Linked DNA regions of Rattus norvegicus. The main gene of each other region encodes a partner of the protein of the gene in region 2 in a complex. Links are inferred from orthologs where the notes say so. Each region holds a gene or a part of one and is shown on either strand. Other genes may lie near its edges.

Region 1 (10,466 bases), on a different chromosome or scaffold from region 2:
CCAGGTCCTTTCTAGGCGAACTACAGAGACTGGGGCAGACCCGGTGCTTAGCAGGCCAGGCTGGCTAACTTGGTCCAAGTCCCTGGCCTCCACATGAAATACTCACTCGTGCATCCTTCTCCTCCTCCCTGGCCCAGCTTCAGCTGAAGGATCTAGCATCAGCTGTGTCTTATACAGAGGTCACAAGTCCTGGAGACATACAGCCCGGACACCAACCATTTGCTGGCTCACAACTTATCCTCTTCCTAGAACCCGTGGTCTGTGCGGGCCCAGTGCTGGGGCTGCACTGGTTTCTGGGGGGCAGGGGGACCATATTATGCTCATCCAGTACCATCAGGGGCACAAGGCTGAACACAGCTACGAGCCCACTCCCTCTGGGTAGGTTACCAGTGACAAACATCAATGCCCATGGCAAACCTTCACAGCGGTCCTCACTAGAGCGGGGAAGGCAGGATGAGGCTGGTAGAGATGCAGTCCTGTAGTTAGCTGCCCAGGACTGTTTGGACATAACTCTTGAGTGGGGCCGAGAAAAATTCACGAAATTCAGTAAATACTCAAAACCTTTATTATTCACCCCAAACAATGGGGCACAAAGGCCTTCAAGGTCCCCTGACCCACAATTCCCAGTCTCTGCCAGAGTTGAGGCCCACACATCCCTACTACAGAGAGCCCACACTGTCCCACCTGGACTGGGCAGGTGAGGAGGTAGAGCGATGGCACTGCAGTCAAACTGAGGGTCCTCTCTCAGACCCTGGCCCCTCCGGGTTACTATCCCTGTTCCGGAAGTGGTCTCTGCTCCGCTTCTTGCTGCCATGGAAACCAACAGTTTTCATACCTATGGGGCCTGATGAGGACTCAGGACGGGCAGCTTCTGAAGGCACTACCACCTCTGGCTGTCCCTGGTGGCCACTCCATTCCTCAGCCTCAGGCCCGGCGAGATGGGCTAGCTCCACTGAGGCCTCACCCCCTGCACCTGACACAACCCCCTTCTTTAGGACCCTCTTCCTCTCAGCCCTAGCCTCGCTGCCCCGCACTGGTTTGGTGAAGACCACTCTTCCCTCCCCACAGCTAGAGGGGTCCTGGTTGAAAAAGGGCACATAGTCTGTGGGGGATGCCTGGCTTCGAGAGCTCAGGAAGGCCAGGGCAGCATCACGATTGCTCTGCTCACTGGTTTCAGACACATCTTCCAGACTGTATTTGGTCCAACGCTCAGGGTGTGACACATAGTCAGGGACAGGGTGTACCCTGGTCGGGTCAGTGTTCCCATGCACTCTGCTCAAGCTTCTTGCTGGAGTCTGACTTGGGGGAGCCACAGGCCGCTTGAAGCTGCAATTGTCAACCACACTGGTTTGGGGAGCAGAGCACGGTTCCTGCCGGGCTGCACTCTCCAGACAATCAAAGATGCTGTGGCTCCGCTGGGAGAAAGTGGAGCTCATGCCTCGGAGGTGGAACGGCTGCACTGCAGTGGTGGGAATGCCCGTGGGGTGCGAGGGAGGGTCATCAGGGCCCGAGTCCTCCTGGCTCTCCCCAGAAAGCCTCTCTGGGGACAACGCTTGGACCTCCACACCACTAGGTAAGCTGAGGTCAGAGTCCGAGTCGCTGAGGGAGACGGTGTCAGAAGGCAGGGTGTCATCCTCGGTGGGTTCCTCAACCTCCAAGCCGGCCTCTGTCTCCGCCATAAGACCTGACATCCGTCCCACCTGTAGCAAGGCAGTCCCAGTTCTGCCGTGAGGGGTGTACCTAATGCCGCACCCCTCCCCGCCCTCCCGGGCTCTTTCACCTCCACTGTGTGCCAGGCGCCTCTACTCACAACCGGACCGGAGGCCTCGCGAAGCTGGGTGGCTAAAGGGTATCCTAGCGTGCACAGATGTGGAGCTGCAGGTTAGGTGGGGTTAAGGAGAGAGTCAACCATGAGATCATAACAGTGTGGACATACAATAGATGAGCGCTGGGAGATGCTGGTGACAGGGGATCTCCATCAGCGGCTCGTCCCATCACGAGCTCTTAGCAAAGCGCAGCCTCTCTGGGCACACACTGAAGGCACCACCCGGGGTCCGGAGGGGGAGGTGGCAGAAACAGGCACGGTACTGGCCTGGTCGCGGCCCTAGGGAGGCCAGTGCTCACCGTTCCAGCATCCGTACACGCTTCAATAACCTGCCACCTTTCCCGCAGCGTCCCGCCAGTTCCACGGGATTCCGGCCTGTTCAATCTCGCTTGGATTCCTGGGAAACCGAGTCTCGGGCTATCAGAATATTGTGGCTTCAGCGCCCGAGAAACTACAACTCCCAGAAGGCAATGGGGTCACTGCCTAATGCCTGCCGGGACTTGTAACATGTGTGCCATCCCGAAGACCGGAGCGCACACGGAAATCCACCCAGAAATGACGAAAGGGGAAAAGGCGGAGCCGTGATTCCCACAATACTCTAGGGTTAACTGCCAATCGCAAAGGGTTGAGGCTTCTAGCGTCGTCCGTCGGAAGCCACCTGGGCCGGGTCCGACACGAGGAAGTGCGTCACTACGCACTGCGAGCTACAACCAGTTTCCCAGACACTTCCGGCCCTGGGCGGAAGTGGTGCGGGTCTTGTGCTTTGTTGGCTTTCTGGAGTTGGGCGGGACCAAGGTCCTGGTTGGCTCTTGGCGTATAGAGACGTGGTGGTCCTTGTAATGGGTTGGTTGGGGCTTCATAGATTCGAGGCCGTTACCGTGGGCACTGCCTGTCTGTGCTTCCTGACACAGGCACGGACGGACGCTTTAGGTGCTGGACGCTGACCCTACTATTCAAGGCCACACATAATCCTCCTCCAGGCCTGGGACTGTTTTCTTGCATCCTTAGACACCAGAGTCTGAGGATCCACTGGGCTGCTGCATTCTCTCCTCCTTTACTATGTTCTTGAAGCTGTGCAACAGGCTTCCAACAGCCTTGGCCTGGTGCCCATGGGCCTCACAACATAGAATATAAAGGTTCCCTCAGAAGCCAGCCAAGCATGGAACAGGTTGCCCTGGCGTGGTGGGTGGAGGTGGCTGAGACCTAGAATGCCCTAGTACAAGCTTGGGGTTCACCGACAAATCAGCCTACTGCTGGGACCTGAATCTTAGCCAGGACTTCTCCTCTCTAGTGGCCAATTAACCCAGCAGCCTGGGGGAGGGGTGCAGACAGGAGTCAAAGAGAAAGACAGTGGTGGTTGCCCCTTGTGTCCAGGAGGTTGCTTTAGCCTGATCCTCAGTTCACAGGGGTGAGCTCAGCGGACTGCCTTTTATTTCTTGAGACACAAGCTAGAACCATCCAGCTCAGTGGAATATTTCCAACACCTAGATACCTGAGATGGGGTAATGGTCTAACCTTTACTGTCTTGTCCCTCAAAAGGAAAGTGTTCTTGCAGTTTATCCCCAACATTCTGTGCTGGATTCCCCTGCCTTGTGGCTCCTCCTACCCGACTCAGCCGACCTGGCATTCCCAACAGATGAGTGGAAATGAGGTCAAGGCTGGTGTTAGGTCAGCATTGAGCTCCCAGTACAGGGAGGTACAGAAGTGAGGGAGTACTCAACATGGAGTGCTCCCAGGGTCCCAGCCCTCCCCACCCACTGTGTTCCACAGGCTCTATTGGACCTGCTCACCCTGTACCTGGCAAAGTTCAGAGCTGACGAGCCAGGTCTCTGACACCACTGGCACAGGAAGAGGTCTGGCAGTCCCATTAGCATGCCTGATTTTTTCCTCCTTTATTAAATGACTGTTTCAAGATTTAATTACAGTTGAAGGTGACACGTTAGAAAGAATAAGTGCATTGAAGGCATAAGAGTGCTTACAAACCCAGCTCTTGAAATGGAGGCAGGAAAGGGACAAGGATTAAAAAGATGGGAGCGATGTGACCCACAGTGGGCAGAGTGGGTGGACATGGCCTTCTAGCTTGGCTATGTGGCCTCTGGACAAGTAGCTATGGAGGAGGTTTGGCTCAGCAGGCAGAACTCTCCAGGGGTCCCAGAAGTACAGGGCCCTGCCAGCTAGGGCCAGCTCCACCTCTACGTCCCCACATACGCCACCTATGTGTGGTGTCGGCTCCAAAAGGTGACAGGAAAAGTTCAGAACAAAAAAGACTCAAAAGTAAAAAGGCTAAGTGTAGCAGAGTAATACAGAAATAGTATATACACAGGCCATGGCCCCCAAGGTGGCCTCTGGTCATTCCAGGGACCCTCTGGTGCGAAGCGAAGGGCCTTAGTACACGGAGCTGTTCCGGATGCCACAGCACAGCACCATGCTCAGAATCATCTCGAAGATCTGCAGGAGGGAGAGGCACAGTCAGCACCTAAGACCCTGGGAAGGATGCTTTCTGCCCGCCTACCCACCAGAGGCCCTGTGCTTACCATAATGACAGCTACCACAATGGCTGCAATTCCAATGAGGTACAGCTTCCCAGAAAAGAGCTCATCGATTTTCTGATGGCAGTCTTCCTGCAGGGATGGCAAGACGGTGGTTAACAGTCAGTGGCTAAGTCACAGCTACCACCCTACTCAGTGATGGGGCCTAGGCACCACAGCTTATCTTCCACATGTAAATAAATGTAAAACACATGGACCTGCTGCCTGTGGCCTTCTCTATCACGGGGTAGTGTTTTTGACCTCACTAGTACCCTAGGGTACCAGTGTTTGAGGGACTACTCAAGAGAACAGGTTTTCAGGATATTGCAGGGGTTAACCCAGGCTGTCAGGACCCTGCATCCCACTAATTGAGATGGTCTATGGGCCTTTCAGAGGTCCTGCCTGTTCAGAGTGCTGATCTTCCTGGCGTGCCACATTCCCCTACCTACCACCCAGGATATGATGCCCACCCCCACTCCACGCCACCTTCAGAAGCTGAGTGAATGAGTTGCTGCTTGAGGGACACAGGCTGTTCCTCAGCACGGTGGTGGTCAGTGTGGTCAGCGTATTGGAGCCACAACAGTTGAGCTGCAGAGACCAAGAACAACACTGTCAAGGGAAAGATCAAGCCCACAGCACAGCATCACCCCAAAATATACACTTGGGAGCTGTCTGTCCTTCTGCCTGGTTGGTCACCCTGCACACAAGTCCCATTCCTCCAAACCCCTGGGAAAACGAGGCCCATTAGATTCCTACCTGGGGAATCTAATCATAGAGGAGAACCTTTCCCAGGTCTTGTTACAGAGATCTGGGACTCATGCCCCCACACACCCCACAACCTGCCCTCCTGCTCCAGCTTAGCTGTACCGTCTCATGGAAGGTCTTCACCACTGCCTTGGCATTGTTGGCATCATCATCCATCACAGCCTGCTGAAGGGCCTGGTCGTAGAACTGCTTCACATCCTTGGCGATCTGGGGGAGAATCATGGTCACGTGCAGCGAAGGGGCTACCACCAAGAGTATTCATCCCACCCCCCATGTGCTCAGCCCCATGCCACCTCTTCCACTAAGCTCCCAAGACCCTGCCCCCACCAATGGGCCCCAGAAATTAAAAAAAAGTACCTGATAACCTATGGGCTCAGAGCAGAGGGCATATCTCCCTCCCCAGTGAATCTGGCTTACCTGGTCTTTGTTTACAAAGCCCCAGATGCCCGCAGCTACCTCACAGGCAAACAGGATCACAAGGCAAGTGAAGAACTAGGAGAAAGAAGAGGTCAGAGCCTTGACCAGCAAGCCCAGGCCTAGCCCACGTGACCAACAACTATGTGCCAAGGGGGTTGGCTGTATCCACTAACCATGGCCTGATTAAGAATGAGCCACGTAGAGCCACTGAGAGATAGAGCCTGATACAGCCCCACTGAGATGGCCAAGTTGTCACAGCCTCCCCCTGCTTCCTATTCTGCAGGATATGGCTGGTGTAAGAAATGCAGCTGACAAGTCCAAGTGTCCACAGCCTTCACTGAGGCACATGCAGCAAAACACCCCGCAACCCTGACCTCAGTTTCCTCACCTCCTTTATCCTACAGCCATGGAAAGGTTAAACTATGAAGTGTGCTTCAGTCGTTTCCCCTGCTTTCGATACTGTCAGGGCCTCCCTCCCAGGCTGACCAGGCTCTAGAAGGCATATCTATCTGGGCTTCAGCTTCTTCTCCAGTAGCTAGTATGGTCAGGAGCACTAAGGCTGGCTTTAGGGGTGAGATGCCCTTCTGGAGTCTATTTTTTTCTAAAGTGAAATCCCTTTTTCTAAGATATATATTCATATGCAGACCCAATGGAAATCAAGCAAACAGGAAAACCAAAACCTTGGGGAAGACACGTAAGTTGCCAGAAACCCTGCTCCCCAGCCCTTCAGCCCTTTCTACTCACCGTCCCCAGCAGGCACTGGGACTCCTGGATGGCCCCATAGCACCCCAGGAAGCCTACAAACATCATCACAGCTCCCACAGCAATGAGAATGTAGATGCCTGGGGAGGGGAAGAGCTGGGTAAGCAGGCTGCATGCACCACTGCCTGAGATAGGAAGATCTGACTCACAACCACAACAGGCAGAGGTTAGCAATGTGCGCCATTTGTGCCTCAGTGTCCTGTGAGAGGAGCCGCCACTGCCACTGGAGGACAAAACAGCAATTCAGTGCCCAGAGAACACGGGTAATCTCCATTTCACAGGTATGCTCTGCTCTGGAGCCAGTCCCCCACCACCTGCACCTGAGATCAGGAACCCTCCTCGGCACTCACTGTAGAGGGCTGAGGCAGACTACCCACTTCAGTGCATGAAATGGGGAAGTGTCGTGGATGTTGGGGCCCGATGTCCAGGACTCCCAATACTGGATGAGTGTGAAGTCAAGGGTAAGCTAAGCCAGTAACCAACTCCAGGCACCTCATCTCAGGAACGCTGTATAACCATTCTGCTCACCTAACTCTAAGGACAGGAACCTGTGGGGGGGTGGCTGGAGGGCTGACAGAATGATAGGGATAGTTTGAGCAGAGCACCCAACATCTGCCACTGGCTGGGCTGTGAGTTTGCAGGGGAACACTGTGGCCCACGAGGCACCAGTTGGACCATGTCCCTGCCTCAGTGGCCACAGTACCCCTCAGCCCCGAGGGAAAGCACACTGTGTCTCTGATGAGCCCTCTATCTCTTGGTTCCTCAGTAGAAGCAGCCCATCCCCCAGTCTCCACGGCAACAATGCAGGGCACTCCAAGCTTCCTTGTACAGAGTCAGACCCATTGTCCCCTGCCTGGCCAGACCAGCGGAGAAAGTACCGTGGCCTGGACCTGCTGCCAGACTTAGAAACAGGCCAAATCCTCTGGCCTCACTAAACATGCCTGGTCTAGGGGAAACCTCCCACCAAGGTTGCCTAGAAACTGGTTTCACCTTTGCCTCCCAATGGGCGGAGCACCTTCAACCAGGTCCCTGTTGTCAAGCCCTGAAACCCCAACCTCAAGATGAGGTGTAGGCTGTCTCAAAGGAGGATACATACAGTCGGGCACCCAACACACAGGCACTGTCCCAGGACTTCCTAGGCCTAACGCATGTCTCACCTAAAGCCCATGTGGTGGTTTCTGGGATGTTAGGCAAGCCCTGAACTCACTCTCCTAAACACTGGACAAGACACCTTTTTCAGGGCCACATCTGCTCCTAGAGGAGCTCAGTTCAGGGGCAGCAGGAAGCTCCAGAAAGTCAATTCAGGTTGTCCAGGGACACAGCAGCCAGAGTAGCTCCTACCCATAGGCTATGGGCCTTGCTGTCAGCACCCAACCTGCTACACAGTGTAGTCCCTGAGACTATTTATCCAGTATCCAGGGGGCCATAACCCCAGATGGGCAGGTGGCTGAGCAGCTCTGGAACTGGAGCCTGGAGTAGACTATTATGAGAACATGAGGATAGAGACCTGCTTCCTAGGCCACCCTATCTGGGCTCTGCAGGGTACCCAGCCTCTCCTGCCATACCAGTGCAGAGTGGGAACACAGCCTTCCCCTTGTCTGTCTCTGATGCCCAGATCTCCCTTGTAAAGAGACCCATATCAGTTGCTACACAACAAGCCAGTGTCTGTATGAGCTAGTGGGCATCCTCCTCCTCCTCTGAAGGTACCAGATCCAAGGACGGATAGCTGGTGTGGGCCCTTTCCTACTAACAACCACGCCTGAAAACTGCTACCCCTCACAGCCTTCCTCGAAGGAGACCAGGTTCTGGCCCCAGCCTACATTGTCTGGACTCTACCACGGTCCATTTTACCCACGCTGAAGCTGTGGGCAGAGTATAGGGAGGAAGGAAATAGAGCGAGTCATGTGGTGACCAAAGCCCTGTCTGCTCTGGGGCACTTAGGCGGAAAGGGAGAATGCTGATTACTTCAGATCTCCTGGTCCCCACTCAGCCTCAAGCATGTCTCCCCAGCCCCTTCTAGGCTCCACAGGAGGAGGAGGAAGATCCACATTAGACCCCTGATGAAGGTGAGAGCTTTAGAAGGGTGAAACCATCTCCAAATACTTCTTCAGTTCTCGGGACACCAGGTCCCTCTTCCAGGGGGAGGAAGGAGGAAAGCTTCCTCCTTCAGCACAGAATAGTGGACCACAGCATAGGACAGCATAGCACAGCCGCTATCTTCCTACTTGAGAGGGAGGTGCTCAGTCCCCCACAGGCAGCCAAATAAGGCAGGTGCAGCAGTCTGGCCTCTGCTGGTGGGGGTGGGGTGGGGTGTGATGGGGTATCTGAGTCATTCACTGTCTCCAGCCCTCCCCAACTCAGGACTCCTGGGGCCTCAGCTGTTGCTAGCCCAGGCATCCAGCCCCACCCTGCCCAGGAAGGTTCACTAGAAATGTCCATGTTAAAATAAGCAAGGTCCTACAAGGCCCCTGCCCTTCCCAGCTGCTTCCTTTCAGTTTAGCCCAGTCTCAGATCTGTGGGGTCCCCAGCAGCACCACACCCAACCCAACTCTCCTCTTGTAGGCAGCCTCCCTCTCCAGCTCATATTAGGCCTAGGCCACTGTGGGTTCTAATGCCCCACCCACCAGATTCAGATTCATCAGCCTCTTCCTGGAAGCCCTCCCTGACTGTTCTGGACTTGTGACTAGACCCTGTCTCTTTGTTACTCACCCACATAGAAGGTGCTAGGTGCTGGTTTGTCTCCCAGTTCCAGGTAGAGAAGGCTGGTGGTTTGTGGATCATGGCGCAACCACAGAGCTACACCTAGGATCACACCTCCAGCCAGCTAGGAAAAAAAAATCAGGAACAATGTCATATAGAGGCCAGAGCGCTGTGAGGCGATGGAACCCTACGATGCTTATCATATAAAGCCATCACTTCCAGTTGTGGAGCCGGACGTCAACCAGGCCCCATGGGGTCTGCTCACTGAGCCACTGCCGCTGAGCTCTGGGTCCCACCAGCTCCTTTCATTGTAACTCTAGAACAGAGTTCAAGTGTACCTCTAATAGTGCACGACACAAACAAGGAGGTTTGGGCAGAAAACGTGGCTCAGTTGATAAGAGGCTTTGGCATGTAGGGAGCCCTGGGTTCAAGCTAGCACCACGTAAACTGGGTTTGGTGGCACTTGAGAAGTAAAAGCAGGAGGATCAGGAATTCAAGGTCATGTGAGTTTGAGACTAGCCTGGGCTATTGAAACCTTGTCTCCAAAATCAACAGGAAACATTTTTCCCCCTACTGTTCCAGATTGACCAACTGTACAACATTTTTATCTGAGAAGTGGCCACAATGAGCCCTAGCCACTCAGGATGCTGCCGGGCTCTCCCCTGGTACCCTGTCCCAACGGCCCTGAGACTGTGTAGAGACTGCTTCAGGTAGGGTACTGAGAACTCTGCGGTAGAGACACCAAGGTCTCCCTGCCAGGAGGACAGGGGTGACCATGTGATGTCACCAGGCCCCACGGTGAGAACAGACCAAGGGAAGCAATCTCTTCCCCACTTCTAGGCCTTCTCTTCTGGAAGGGTCAGTGGCACTCCCCAGTAGAGACAGCAAATAGAAACCAGAACCCGGGCCTGAAAGGGCACCTGCTCTTCACTGTGGGGATTCAGGACAGAGCACAAGCTCAAGAAAGTTCTGGGGAAATTCCCAAGCAGGATGGTCCCGGAAAGAGGACATATGGAACTCACCTACCTTCTTCTACCCTAGGATCTCGTGCTCTGCTTAACCCTCAAAGAGGAAGCTGTGGTGGGGGATACTTTCTCCTGATTACCATCGCCCTCTACTCCTACCCCATTCATGCGCCCTTCTTCCTCAGTTTCTCAGTCTCCTCTTTAGGTGTTTAATTCCATGTTCACACTCCAATCCAAGAGGGATGAGCCCCCAACCTCCACCAGAGCCTAAGAGAAGAGAGTGTGTAATATAAAAATCAAAGTCACACTGAGCACCTGTGCCCAATCCACAAATGGCATGAAGACTGAGACTCTGACGGTGCCTTCATGTGTAACAGCCCTAGTAATGCTGGGGATCCCCAGACCTTCCAGCACGTTACAGCGACAGCTCTGTCTACACACCCTTAAGAGCCTAGCCATCAACTTGGGCAACAGAGGCAGGAGGGTAGGGCATGGCACAGGCTC
Region 2 (11,554 bases):
TAGACCACCTGAGGCTTGGCTGCTAATGACTGTGAATGGACAGGAACTGGAGGGAGTTCATGGCAGAGGGATTGCCTATCGTGTGCTGGATTCCATCTCTAGCCACCCCCCCCCCCTTCCCCGACTCCCTCTACCCCAAATTAAAGTTGGGCATGTGCTTGCGGTCCCAACTACTTGGTAGGATGAGGCAGGAGGATTGCTTAAGGCCAGAAGTTTGGAATCAGTCTACAGACAGCAAGTCCTGATCATAGGAAAATAGAAAGAAAGCTGAAGGGAGAGGAGAGGAGGGAGAGGAGGGAGAGGAGGGAGAAGGGAGAGGGGAGGATGGAGGAAGAGGGAAAGGAGGAAGAGGAAGAGGGAAAGGGCAGGAAGAGAGGAGAAAGGAAAGAGGAGGGGGAGGGGAGGAGGGAGAGAAGGGGGAAGGAAGAGGAGGGGAGAAGGGAGAAGAGAAAGAGAAGGAAAAGGGGGAGGGGAAGGAAATGAGAGGAAGGAGAGGTGGAGAGAGAGGAGGAAGAGAGAGAAGAGGGAAGGGGAGGAGGAAGAGGAATTAAGTTACATAAACAAAATTATAAAGTAGTAAAACTCAGAGTGAGGAACTTCTTTTCTCTTTGCTTTCTAAGACAGGGTCTCACTCTGCCGGCCTGGAATTTACAGAGATCCACCTGCCTCTGCCCACAGAGTGCTGGGGTTAAAGGTCTTTGTCACCATGCCCCACAATGTAGCACTTTCTAACTATTCCATTTGGCTATAATCTATTACCGTTGCTCAACTCTGGTCTCCCTTTGCTTCCTTTGTCGTGGCAATCAAGGTTCTAGGACCTGAGTACAGGATGATTTGACAGGTGTGAGGACAGGGTCTTTCCTGAGTTAATCAAGTTAGCTGGAGGCTCTAAGGGTCAAGCCTTATAGAACAGTGAATGTGAGCCCAGACAGCCATGCAGGGAAGGTGGGGACAGAGGCCCAGCAATGCTACCTGGTCCAGAAATGTCACAGATGGCTTCCATCCACCAGAAGATGGGAAGAAAGGTTCTTGGGACCCTCAGAAGGAACAAGCCTTGTTGACACTTTATTCTGTACTTTCTGGACTCCAGAACCAACGACACATCTGTGTTCTTTAAGCACTGGACTGTCTTGAAGACAGCGATAGTGTACTCACATACATAAAATAAATAAATACATCTTTTTAAAAAAAAGAAACCAAAACCATATAAATGTGTTGTTGGTTCTGGTTCTGGTCAAGGGTTAAAGTGTCAACAGAGCTGGTCCCTTCTGAGTACTCCAAGAACATTTCTTCCCGGCTTCTGATAGACGGAGACCATCTTTGATGTTCCTGGAATGGGTAGCAGAACCAGTTCAGGCAGAGTGGCTAATTCTAGCCGAGGACAGACACGTCCAAGGCTGCCTGACTTCCAGCTTCCTTGGGTAACTGGAGTCAGTGTCCAGGAAGGAGGTGTCCTCTCCCAGTTCTTTTTGTCGGTTCCCCTACACTTGGGCCCATTGCCCTTCTGAGCCTTCCCATCCTGCCTGTGCCCTGAGTCCACTCTTCTCGGGGCTGCTGTTTCCTTACCTCCTCCAAGAAGGCTTCCCTGATTTCCTAAGCTAATGTGGATTCTGGATTCCGTATTCTCTTCCTTACTCCTTGGTTATGTGTAAACATTCACCTTCATATTTCCTGGGTCGCCACATTAGTCCTCCAACTTTGAAATCTCTTTCCCATCTTCCTCAAGGCATGGGTACCCTAGAGACAGACATACTGTGTGTCTGATCCCACAGAGAGCAGCTCGACACTTGGAAAACGTTGAATGAACGAATGAAATACATCCAGTAAGAAGTTTCATGGTATAGACAATCCAGGGATAGGTAATCCATTCAAAGGCTGATGATGGCTCTGCTTGGCAATGCAGTTACATTTGGGTCTCAGCCTCCTGGTCCACAATCCCTGGACACGATCCGAACGCAGCCTGAGACTCAGTGTGTGGCCGGGACCTGAACACACAGGTACTCCGAGGAGCTGAATGTTCTTACAGGTAAAAGGCTGTGGGACTTTGTGTGTGTGTGGTGGTGGGGGTGCCAGGGGAAGAGCTAACTTCCTGTACAGGGAGGTTAAGGGAAAGAGGACAGGTGGAGTTTCCCTGGCAGAGGAGGGTGGGAAGTGGGTTCCCTGTGTGGGTGGAATCTTACTTTGGGGCCAACCCCTTCTATGCTTTTCTGCTGGAGGCCCAGCTGTGACATTTAGTTTCCCCCCAGTTTCCTGTGTCTGTCTAGTGGGCTCATGGCGAGTGCCAACTCCAGGCTGAAGTGAGGCTGAGAAGCTGCAAATGTGATTCAGTCACCTCCAGACACAGGGCAACCTGGAGAAGAGCAGTGTCACGGAACACTGAGGATGTGGCCCAATAGTGTTGACTCATGATGGAGGGGCACAGGCACATCTATCTCTCTTGCCCATAACCGAGGACAGATATTGCTCTTAGATCTGCTGGCTGCTGGCATGGGTGTGTCTTCCAGCAGTACCCTCCCCTTCCCCTGTACATGCTCCATCTCCTCATGTGACTCACTTGAAAACACCTCAGGATGGACGCCTCATTGTCCACTACTGACTGCAGGTCAGGGAAAGGCTTCAGCTTCGAAGCACCGAAGTGCTACTGGGTGGCAAACGCTTAGACTGCAGCGGGGGTGGTTTCCTGACTTAGATTGGGCATAGATGGATGACTCTGTGTGGAGGGACCTAGATGCCAGACTTGACCTCAACCAGAGGGCACAAAGCTGCCGTGAACGAGCTCACTAAGAACTTAGCCAAGTCTGGGTCTGCCGCACAGCCCCAGGTGGCCTTGAACTCTCCATCCTCTCGCCTCAGCCTCTTGCTGGGGTGACAGTCATCACACCTGGCTTACCGTGAACTCGCCGAGGGCTAGGCAGTGTCATCAGCTACCCATACCGACTCTTTTCTGCAGAGGACGGTGAGGCAGCCCAGCATGCTGCTGGGGTGGGCTCTAGAGCAGTGAGCTCGCACACCCACATTCCTGGGAAGGATGATTTCTGCCAGGGGCGGCCATAGGGAGACACTCTGTGTCACTGGAAGCAGTGGGGACCCCTTCTGTTCAGTAGCAGGAACAACACTGAGCACGTGGAGGATTGCCAAAAGCCAGTACCTTTCATCTGCTCTGCACTGGGGATGAGGAGCACTTAGGGGGCATTCAAACACGTGTCAGCCATTGATTGAGCATCTTTCCAGGAGTCCTCACAGCCTGGATAGGTGCCCCTAACACCTGCTGTGCACACGAGGCTGAGGGAGGTGACTGAACAGCAGGTTGGGCTGGGCTTCAGACAGTCTGATCCTGCCTCCCCACCCCCACCCCATCCACACCCCCACCCCATCCACACCCCCCACCCCATCATTTCCACTGCCCGCCCTACAGGGTGTTTGTTCTCTGAACCAGAGAGGCCCAGCACCTAGTACTTACTAGGCAAATATTAGCTCAGTGGATAAATACAGGAACTAGCGGAGGGGGGGGGGAATGGCCCGAGTCAGAAACCCTGCCTGAGCTCATGCCTGCCTGGATGAAGCCAGCACCTTCTCAATGTCCAAGGTGCGCTCAACCACGGCTTTCAGTCAGGGAGCTCACCCCCTGACCTTGTGGGCTCCATCAGTTCTGAGAGAGGCCGTGGAAACTTAGCTTGAAAGCATGAGACCCCCTGGGGACTCTCTCACCTTCTCACCAGGTACACTGTGAGGAAAGGGAAGGGACAGGATCTGTATTCTCTCTGTTTTCAGTGAGGGGTGGGAATAGGGCTGATTCTGGAGTTCAGCTGCCTGGGTGTGACTACAAGCCTGTTTCTGTACCTGACTCTGACCTTTTTGGGAGTACTCTGCCCCCTCAGCGCTGGGTAGCTACTCCCTCCAGGATGAGGGAGGAGTCAGTGCCCCACGATTTGCATTTAGCTCAGGACTGATTGCCTGGGTCCGGTTGGTTACAGTTCATCTCTGCAGGTGGCAGGTCTGAGACTTGGCCAGGCTCTTGTTACATTTTATTTCCTTAACCCACTATCCTAGGGGATGGTCTGGGTCGCTAGGAGACCGTGCCTCCAGACTCACAAACGATCCACGGTGCCTGCACTGCCAGGGCACACAAAACCTTCCAATTCTTGCTATGTTTGGAGAGCAAGCACAGCAAAAGCAGAGGTCCCCATTTGATAGGTGGTCTGAGGCACAGAGAGGTTAAGCAACCTTTCCAAGGAAACCCAGCAAAAGTGAGCTCAAGACTAGGATTCTGGCACCAGTCCTTGAGATCAGGTGACAGAATAGTAGTTAGATCACACGTGGGGGTGGGGTGGGGCAGGGCTGAAGACACAGGGGAAGATGTGAAGTGTGGGTGTGGATCTCACAAGCTAGGGAGTCACTGGTGGGCATACAGGAAATCACTGGGACTCCCCTGTGTGTCCTTATCAGGACAGATGGTATCTCTGGGGGCCACGAGGAACTGAAGTCAGACTTTCCCTGTGGGCCCTCTCACTCCCCATCTGCTCAGCTCTAGAGATCCAGCTTGTGCTGGGCAGAGGAAGTGTGCATGCCCACCCTGTAGCCAGGGGTTCTCATGAGGAAGGCATTTTGGTAGGATTGAAGAGTCTCGGCAGGGCCCGTCTAGAGCTGTTGCCAGTAAGCAGGTGCTGGCATCATCTTGGGACTGATGCTCCCTTTCGAGATCCTTCTCCTCTGTGGTCTCGTCTCCGCCTTTGGGTCCTTCATTCAGCTGCACGGCCGGCCGTGAGCAACCTTCTCCTCCTCATCCCTTAAGTCAGAATCACCGACCCCTCCGCCTTTGCCCTTCTGTCCACCAGAATGCTCTTTTCTAGGTACTCCAAAGGCTACCTGCTTGGATGCTGTCTGTATTCAAGCATCATCTCCCACTGAGAATCTAACACTGCTCCCCTCACCGGTATTTTCCTCCCCATTACTCTTACTAGAGCTCTGGGTAGATTATCGTTTATCCATTTGTCATCTGTAGCCCTGCAGCTCTGAGAGGGCAGGTGTGTGGCTCGTAGCTGTCTCTCCTATGCCCAGCACAGTGCCTGGGTCACAGTAGGTTTTCTACAAACGTGATGGAATCCATCCTCTGGTCCATCTGTCCATCCACCTATCCATCCATCTTCTTTTCTTATCCACTCACTAGTCTTTCCTGTAGAACGGACCTTATTCTGGGTCTGCTGTGGTAACTGCTGGGGTTCATAGACAAGAAAAACAGAGGGATTGATCTGAGGCTCAAGAAACAAAATGGACTGAGGGTGGGGGTGTTTCCAAGGTAAATCCTACAGGAGGGACACCTCAGCCCACAGCCGTGATTGATATCTCTTGTTCAGAGGATCCGCTTCTGTTTGGATTGGCTTCCTGAGGGAAGTATGGCTCAGCTAGCAGGTTTCTATGTAGGGAGCTGGTTGTGCATCAGAAGAACCCACACACACACCGCCCCCCTGATACTGGTACTGATTGCAAGAACTTGAAAAAGAGGTGGGTGGCAGTGTCTGAGGGAATTGCATCCACAGGGCCTCTCCATTGCAGGGTGGAGCTTGCCTGGACTTCTCCCCTTGGCATCCTCCCAAGATACCTAGGGCAGCTGCCACCACCCATCCCTAGCAAAAAAGCTCCGTCCCTGTCCCCTCACCCTCTGCCTGCTCTGGTTCCGCCTTAGACCAGCAGGGCATTTTGAGAACCCCACCCGCAGTCCCGGAGCCCTCCTGCATCCAGCCTGTGGCTGAGTTTGTATTGCGCTGTAGACAGGATAAGGGGCAGGATTCAGGTGGGGCCCCAGCTCGGAAGAGGGTGGAGAAGCCACAAAGGGCTGGCAGTTTGCAGGTGTGTGTGGGCGTGGCAGCATGCCTCCCACAGCCCGAAAGGGTCTCTGAAGCGCCGAGACCGTGTGATCCCAGCCTCCCACAAGGCAGCTCTTACTAACCAGGGAAGAGATGCCAAAAGTCCACGGAGGCTGAAGACCCTGTAAAGCTTCGCCAGAAAACCTAGGAGTGTTCGAGGGCACTTGGCACCGGAAGCTAGACCTGTAGGCGGAGCCTCACCTGGGTTGAGTTCACAGCTGCCTAGACAGGCTCAGACTAGGTGCTGGGCACCTGGAAGGAGGAGGCAGAGGCACCAGCAGTAAAGCCTATCTATCAACAGAAGGGCCTGCCTAGGCTTGGAGGTAAGACGCTGCTGTTAGTTAGACTGGGAGACGGAGGTAAGAGAGGGCTGCGGGTATGGCGTGGCTCGGCCCGCTTGACCTTGGTCTCAGGTGCAGCGCAGTGCTTGGGGGTTCTTGTGAGTGGGCTGGATCATGTCTCCCAGGCAACGACTAAGTTAGAGGTTCTAGCTGTTCCTAGGATACTCCTTGCTGCGCAGAGTGTGGGCTGGGCATGCTCAAGAGACGCCAATGGGGCACGTTGGCTGAATGTGAGGTGTGTCCCTCTTTGCCCAGAAGGGCACCATTGCCATGAGGGCCAGAGTGAAGCTTGGGCCCTGGCGTGTGGATGAAGACTGGCGGACATGAACCCCATTTTCCTCTTCGTTCCTAATGCTCCCCAAGTAGTTTCCTCCTGAGATCCGCGGGGGAACCGGTTTAGCAGCAGCTCACCCTGGTTGTTTGACTTCTGAGGAGGAAGAGGGGGCAGGCAACCTTTCCTGGTAAGCCAGCAAAAGGGCAGGGCTCACGGAGTTCTGTCTCTGCTGCTGCCAGCCACAGGTCCCCTTGCCTGTCAGCCCAGGTTTGTCCCCATCTGCAAGGGTCCTACCAACTGCTTCCCCACATGGTGGCCCCAAAAATGCATCTGCACCGGAAGGAAAAGTTCAGGCTTGCTGTGGTCTCGGCGGGACCCTGGCATTCCTTCCAACTGGATCCATGACCCTAGCTGTACCGTGACGGAGGTAGACAGGGCCCCAGATGTCAAATCAAATATTGCTTCTAAAGCCCCAGTGCCCAGCCCCCAGCCCTAGCTCATGGCCCCCACCCAACCAGACAAAGGTGGGCGGCTGGCGCCGCTGCTTTGCCTCTGCCAGTCTGGCTCCCTGAGGCGTGTGGGCTGCACGGTGGGTCCCTGCTAATGAGCATCTGATATCACTCCATTATGCCGCCTGCGCCACCTGCACCCCAGCACTTAATGGGAGACACGGGGGGGGGGTTCCCTGGCTGCTGGGCAGAGGGGCATGCAGAAGGCAGGAGGTGTTGGGGGCGGGTCTCCTGGGGTTGGGGTTGGGAATGCTCTGCGGGATTTCTGCAAAGTACTTAGGATTCCAGCTCTTTATTGTATCAAAAGAGAAGCGCTGGAGATGGATGGGGCGTAATCTCCACGCTAGGGTAACTGAGGCAGATCCATTTTGAGTTCCAGGCCAACCTGGGCTACATGGAGAGACGATATCTTGAAAGAAAGGGGGAAGGAAAAGGGAAGGAGGTGGTGGCAGCCTACTGGGATTTCAGGTGAGGAAATGAGTGTCTTTGTGACTGTCCAAGTGAGTCTCCCCGAGCCAACCTCTCACAAAGTATCTGTGCTTGTCTGTATGGGGAAGGGGGTGTGGGTGCACATGAGGACACAGCCAACATTCCGGTCCTGGAGACTGGCAGTGAGTGACCTGGCATAGTGCTCTCCTCAAGACGGAGCATGCCTTACCCATCCTTTCTATGGGCAAGACATCCTTTCTACGTCTTGAGCGTAGTCACTCACCCTCTCTGGGGGCTTCCTTTGCCTGCCTTGGCACAGATACTGCAATGCCTCTCTGCTTGATCAGAGACAGCTGAACCAGTTCTGGTGCCTGAGCAGCTGCCACTCAACCTCAGGACAGGACCCGGGGAGGGGCAGCATAGCCTGGGTACGAGTGTGGAACAGTTGGCAGCCGCTGACATGGCCTTTTTGGGGAATGCTGGTCACCTCAGACCAGGTCCAACGCTCTAGCTGAGGCAGGGTGGCCCCTGCGGAGGGTCGAAGTCCCTCTGTTCCTGCACACTGGAGCCATTTTAAGAGCAGACTCACAGAGGTAGGGAGGTAACTCAGTTGGCAACATGCTTGCTGCGGAAGCTGGAGGGCCTGAGTTCGGATTCTCCAGCACCACAGTCCCAAGCTTGGTGGTTTGTGCCTGCATCCCAGAGAGGCAGAGACAGGAGGAGCTCCAGGCTTGCTGTCCAGCAAGTCTAGCTGAATCAGAGAGCTCCAGGTTCCATGAGAGACTCTGTCTCAAAAAGTAATTTGAAGGGCCAGCAAGGCGTTTAGCTAAAGGGCTTTCCTTCAAGTCTGATGACTTGAGTTAGATCTCTGGATCCCGCATGAGGCAAGGAGAGAAGCAACTTCTGTGAGTTATCTTTTGACCTCCACATGCATGTCGTGTCACTGTTATCTGCACATGTTACACACACACATAAAACTCCTAAAACATCTAACACATAAGATGGAGAGTGATGGAGGAAGACGCACACTGGTGTTGACCTCTGACCTCCACACACATGTGCACATAAACATGCACACACATATATACTTCAACACATGCTCAAGAGCAAACCCAGTGGTCAGGAGGGTGCCATACCCATTTTACACATGAGGACACTGAGGCATGCAAAGATCAAAGCCCAGCAGCTTGATGCTAGACTCCCACAGCAGTTATGGAGAGCTTTGGGGCAATTCTGGAAGGAACCAAAGCAGCCAGGAGAGTGGTTTGGAGCCTCAGTCAGTGGCTCCCCTGTGCCAGGCTGCTTCTGAGCAGAGTATAGGTCAGAGAGTTATGTCCTGAAGAGGCAGAGCAGGGAACCTCATCATGACAACCTGGGCTGCAGAGGGAACCTATGTTAAGAGATGGGTAGGGTCTCCCTGGAGGACTCTAGGTCTCTGGATCCTGAAGGACAGGCCCAAACTAACAGACTTAGGACAGGATTCGTGAGGGCTTGTTCAAGGTGCTCACCTTAGCCCTGAGCTCAGGGGCTTCTGAATGCTAAGAGGCAGGGGCACAGCCAATTTGACTCTCTGAGCAAGATCTAGCTGGTTCCAGCTCTCCTGCTGGCGGGCTCTTGGTGTGGGGGTTGCTAAGGTGAGGGTCAGACATTCTGTCATGCCACCACACGAACAGGAGGCTCTTAGCCAGTTTTGCCTAGCCTCGGGTAGTTGGGCACCCAGGCATGCCCACCTCTCATGGCAGCCAGTGGGGGTGGCCTTGGAGGCAGCCAGCATGAACTTGGCTAGGGAACAAGACACTGGATTGGCTTCTTCCCAGCAGGCAGGAACGAGGTTCGCACAGAGAGAAAGGTCATGTGACCATGCTAGGGACCAAGGCCACTTCTTGTTGGCATTTGATCAAACATCCCTGGGACCAGAAAGAGAGACCTGGGGGTGGGGGTGGGGGAGTGTCTCCCCAGACCACAACCCTAGGGCTTAGGAAATCTGAGAGGCAGGTAAATGTAAACGGGCCACCCAGCTTAACTCCATCCCCAAGGACCTAGAGTGGACTCCCAATAAGGTCTCAGAAAATAGGCAAACTTGACTTGGGCAGACTCAACTCGCATCCTCTCCTGGCCTTTATTCCACTTTATCTGGTATGATATCCTTGAACCCCAAGCCTAGGCTTGAATCCTGGTGAGGCTTAACCCACCTTAATGGCTGAGAGAGGCCCCTGTTTCCTTTCCTCTGGACCAGCCATATTTTCATACTTCTCCCCGGCTAGGGGAAGGGGAGACCCCCCCAGTGGGGAAGGCTGTCCTGGGCACTAGCACACAGCTGCCTTTGTAAGGGTGACTGAGTCACATGGACACCCCCATCCTTGCTGGACCCTGGGGCGATGTGACGCGAGGTGGCTTTATCATGGGGCTGTGGCTTCCCCCACGCTTTTGGGCAGGAGCCTTTCCCACGGGAATGAAGGGAGCGGGGAGGTGGCTGGGAGCACAGCCCTAGCACATCTGCATTACTGGCTACAGGATCGTGGGGGTGGCTTTGGGAAGGTCGCTTTTCTGTGCCTCAGTTTCCATCTCTGATAAACGCACCAGGCATTCCTGTTGTAGAGAAGCCCTTGTGTTCATGTTAGCATCAATGTGCTGGGTATTACGCTCTAAAACATACAGGGACACTGAGCTTGCAAGAGAAGCCTGTACTTGAGCTCTTTCTGTAGAGTTAAAAACCCACCTCTGACCAGGCAGTGTGTTTCCAGGCTTTTTGTCAAGGCTGGACTCAGCTCATTCCTCTTGACAAGGCTGGCTGTGTAACCCGTTCTATTAGGCAGGTTAGAGAGAGATTGAGGCCTGAAGGTCCCTTGAAGTTGTACCAGCCACATACTCCATGGGGCAGTAGCCCCAGCAAGCAGCCCTCCCTGTTGCTTTCTCTTTTTTTCTTTCTTTCTTTTTTTTTTTTTTCCTGAAGCTGGGGACCGAACCCAGGGCCTTGCGTTTGCTAGGCAAGCACTCTACCACTGAGCTAAATCCCCAACCCCTCCCTGTTGCTTTCTAATCCATAGCCATGGGTTCCTGTGTCCCTGAAGAGCTCTCCTTGGTGCCCAGAGAGCAGGTGCTAATATTTTGTCTTCGCCTAACAGCGAAGGGGTAGCTGGGTAGAGATGCTTGCCCAAGTCACCATCTGGCAGAGGAGTCTGCTGTAGCCAGTTGGCCAGGGGTCCGCATCAGTATTCTCTCTTCCATTTCTTATAAAGAAAGGGCAACTGTCAGCTTCCTGTGCTCCCCACCCCATGCTGACTCTGTCACCAGCCTGTAGTCCCACAGCCCTCCCTGTGGAGCCCTTTTCTAGCTGAGTCCTGGCCTGGTGCTTCTAGTAGCCATGGGAACCAGAGAGGACATGTGGTTCCCTAATGCTACAGATCCACTCTGCATTAGGGTAGCCTTTTCTCGCCGTCTCCCAGATTTGCACCCTACTCCTGACATGTATACATGTCAGGGATGCTTTTGATACCTCCCCTTTCCCTGTTTGGCTTTCCTCAGCCTTGTTTGTCTCAGACTTTGGATACAAGACTTTACCCCAGCTTTTCTCTGTCTCTATCTTCAAGACACGGCCTGAGCTCAGCCACTTGTCCACACCTCACGTCATACCCACCCAGTTTAAGAGGAGAGCCAGGCCAAAAGGATAACCACCTGGGAATTCTGTTAAATTTTAGGTTCTTATGAGACAGATCTGGGGCATATCTGAAATCTGAGGTTTCTGGCAATTTTTCATAACTTGAGCCCTGAGCACAATCCTTCTTGTGAGAGTGGATTTTTTTTCAAAATCTTCCATTATCTGGATCCATTTCCTTCAAATGGCTCTCCCTACCTCTCCACCCCTGTTGCTGTTACCCCTAGCAGTTTCTTCTGAAGGTCTCTTTTTCTTGAACTTCCTAACTTCTCCAATATTCGGCTGGGCTCGGGAGCCATTTGGTCCACACCCAGCCTTTGGAGGGTGTGGCTGAGAGCCCCTTGCTTTCTCTGTACACGGTCCTGCTCTGTATGGTGGAGACATGGTGGAGATGTTGAGGCTAAGGGCCTGTACCTGCTGGATGTTTGCTGAGAGCCCGAGAGCCAGCTGCATCTCACGGAGTGGTGGTGGTGTGCAGTGGA

Evidence for each region.
Region 1: Adgrg1 (region 2) and Cd81 share a complex: the UniProt entries of both Homo sapiens proteins name them as parts of the GPCR-tetraspanin complex. The link is inferred for Rattus norvegicus from reciprocal best matches to the Homo sapiens genes ADGRG1 and CD81.

The regions. Positions count from the first base shown.
Region 1 is NC_086019.1:207,674,321-207,684,786, reverse strand, and holds the end of Cd81 (CD81 antigen), read right to left. Parts: intron 9,122-10,466; coding exon 9,007-9,121; intron 6,378-9,006; coding exon 6,280-6,377; intron 5,611-6,279; coding exon 5,536-5,610; intron 5,326-5,535; coding exon 5,221-5,325; intron 4,942-5,220; coding exon 4,840-4,941; intron 4,447-4,839; coding exon 4,360-4,446; coding exon of another isoform or gene 4,274-4,359; coding exon 4,211-4,273; 3' UTR 3,693-4,210; downstream 1-3,692. Other genes in the region: U5 small nuclear ribonucleoprotein TSSC4, read right to left, coding at 726-1,691. UniProt on the Homo sapiens protein: Structural component of specialized membrane microdomains known as tetraspanin-enriched microdomains (TERMs), which act as platforms for receptor clustering and signaling.
Region 2 is NC_086037.1:10,041,489-10,053,042, reverse strand, and holds the start of Adgrg1 (adhesion G-protein coupled receptor G1 precursor), read left to right. Parts: upstream 1-5,904; 5' UTR 5,905-6,187; intron 6,188-8,067; exon of another isoform or gene 8,068-11,554. UniProt on the Homo sapiens protein: Adhesion G-protein coupled receptor (aGPCR) for steroid hormone 17alpha-hydroxypregnenolone (17-OH), which is involved in cell adhesion and cell-cell interactions.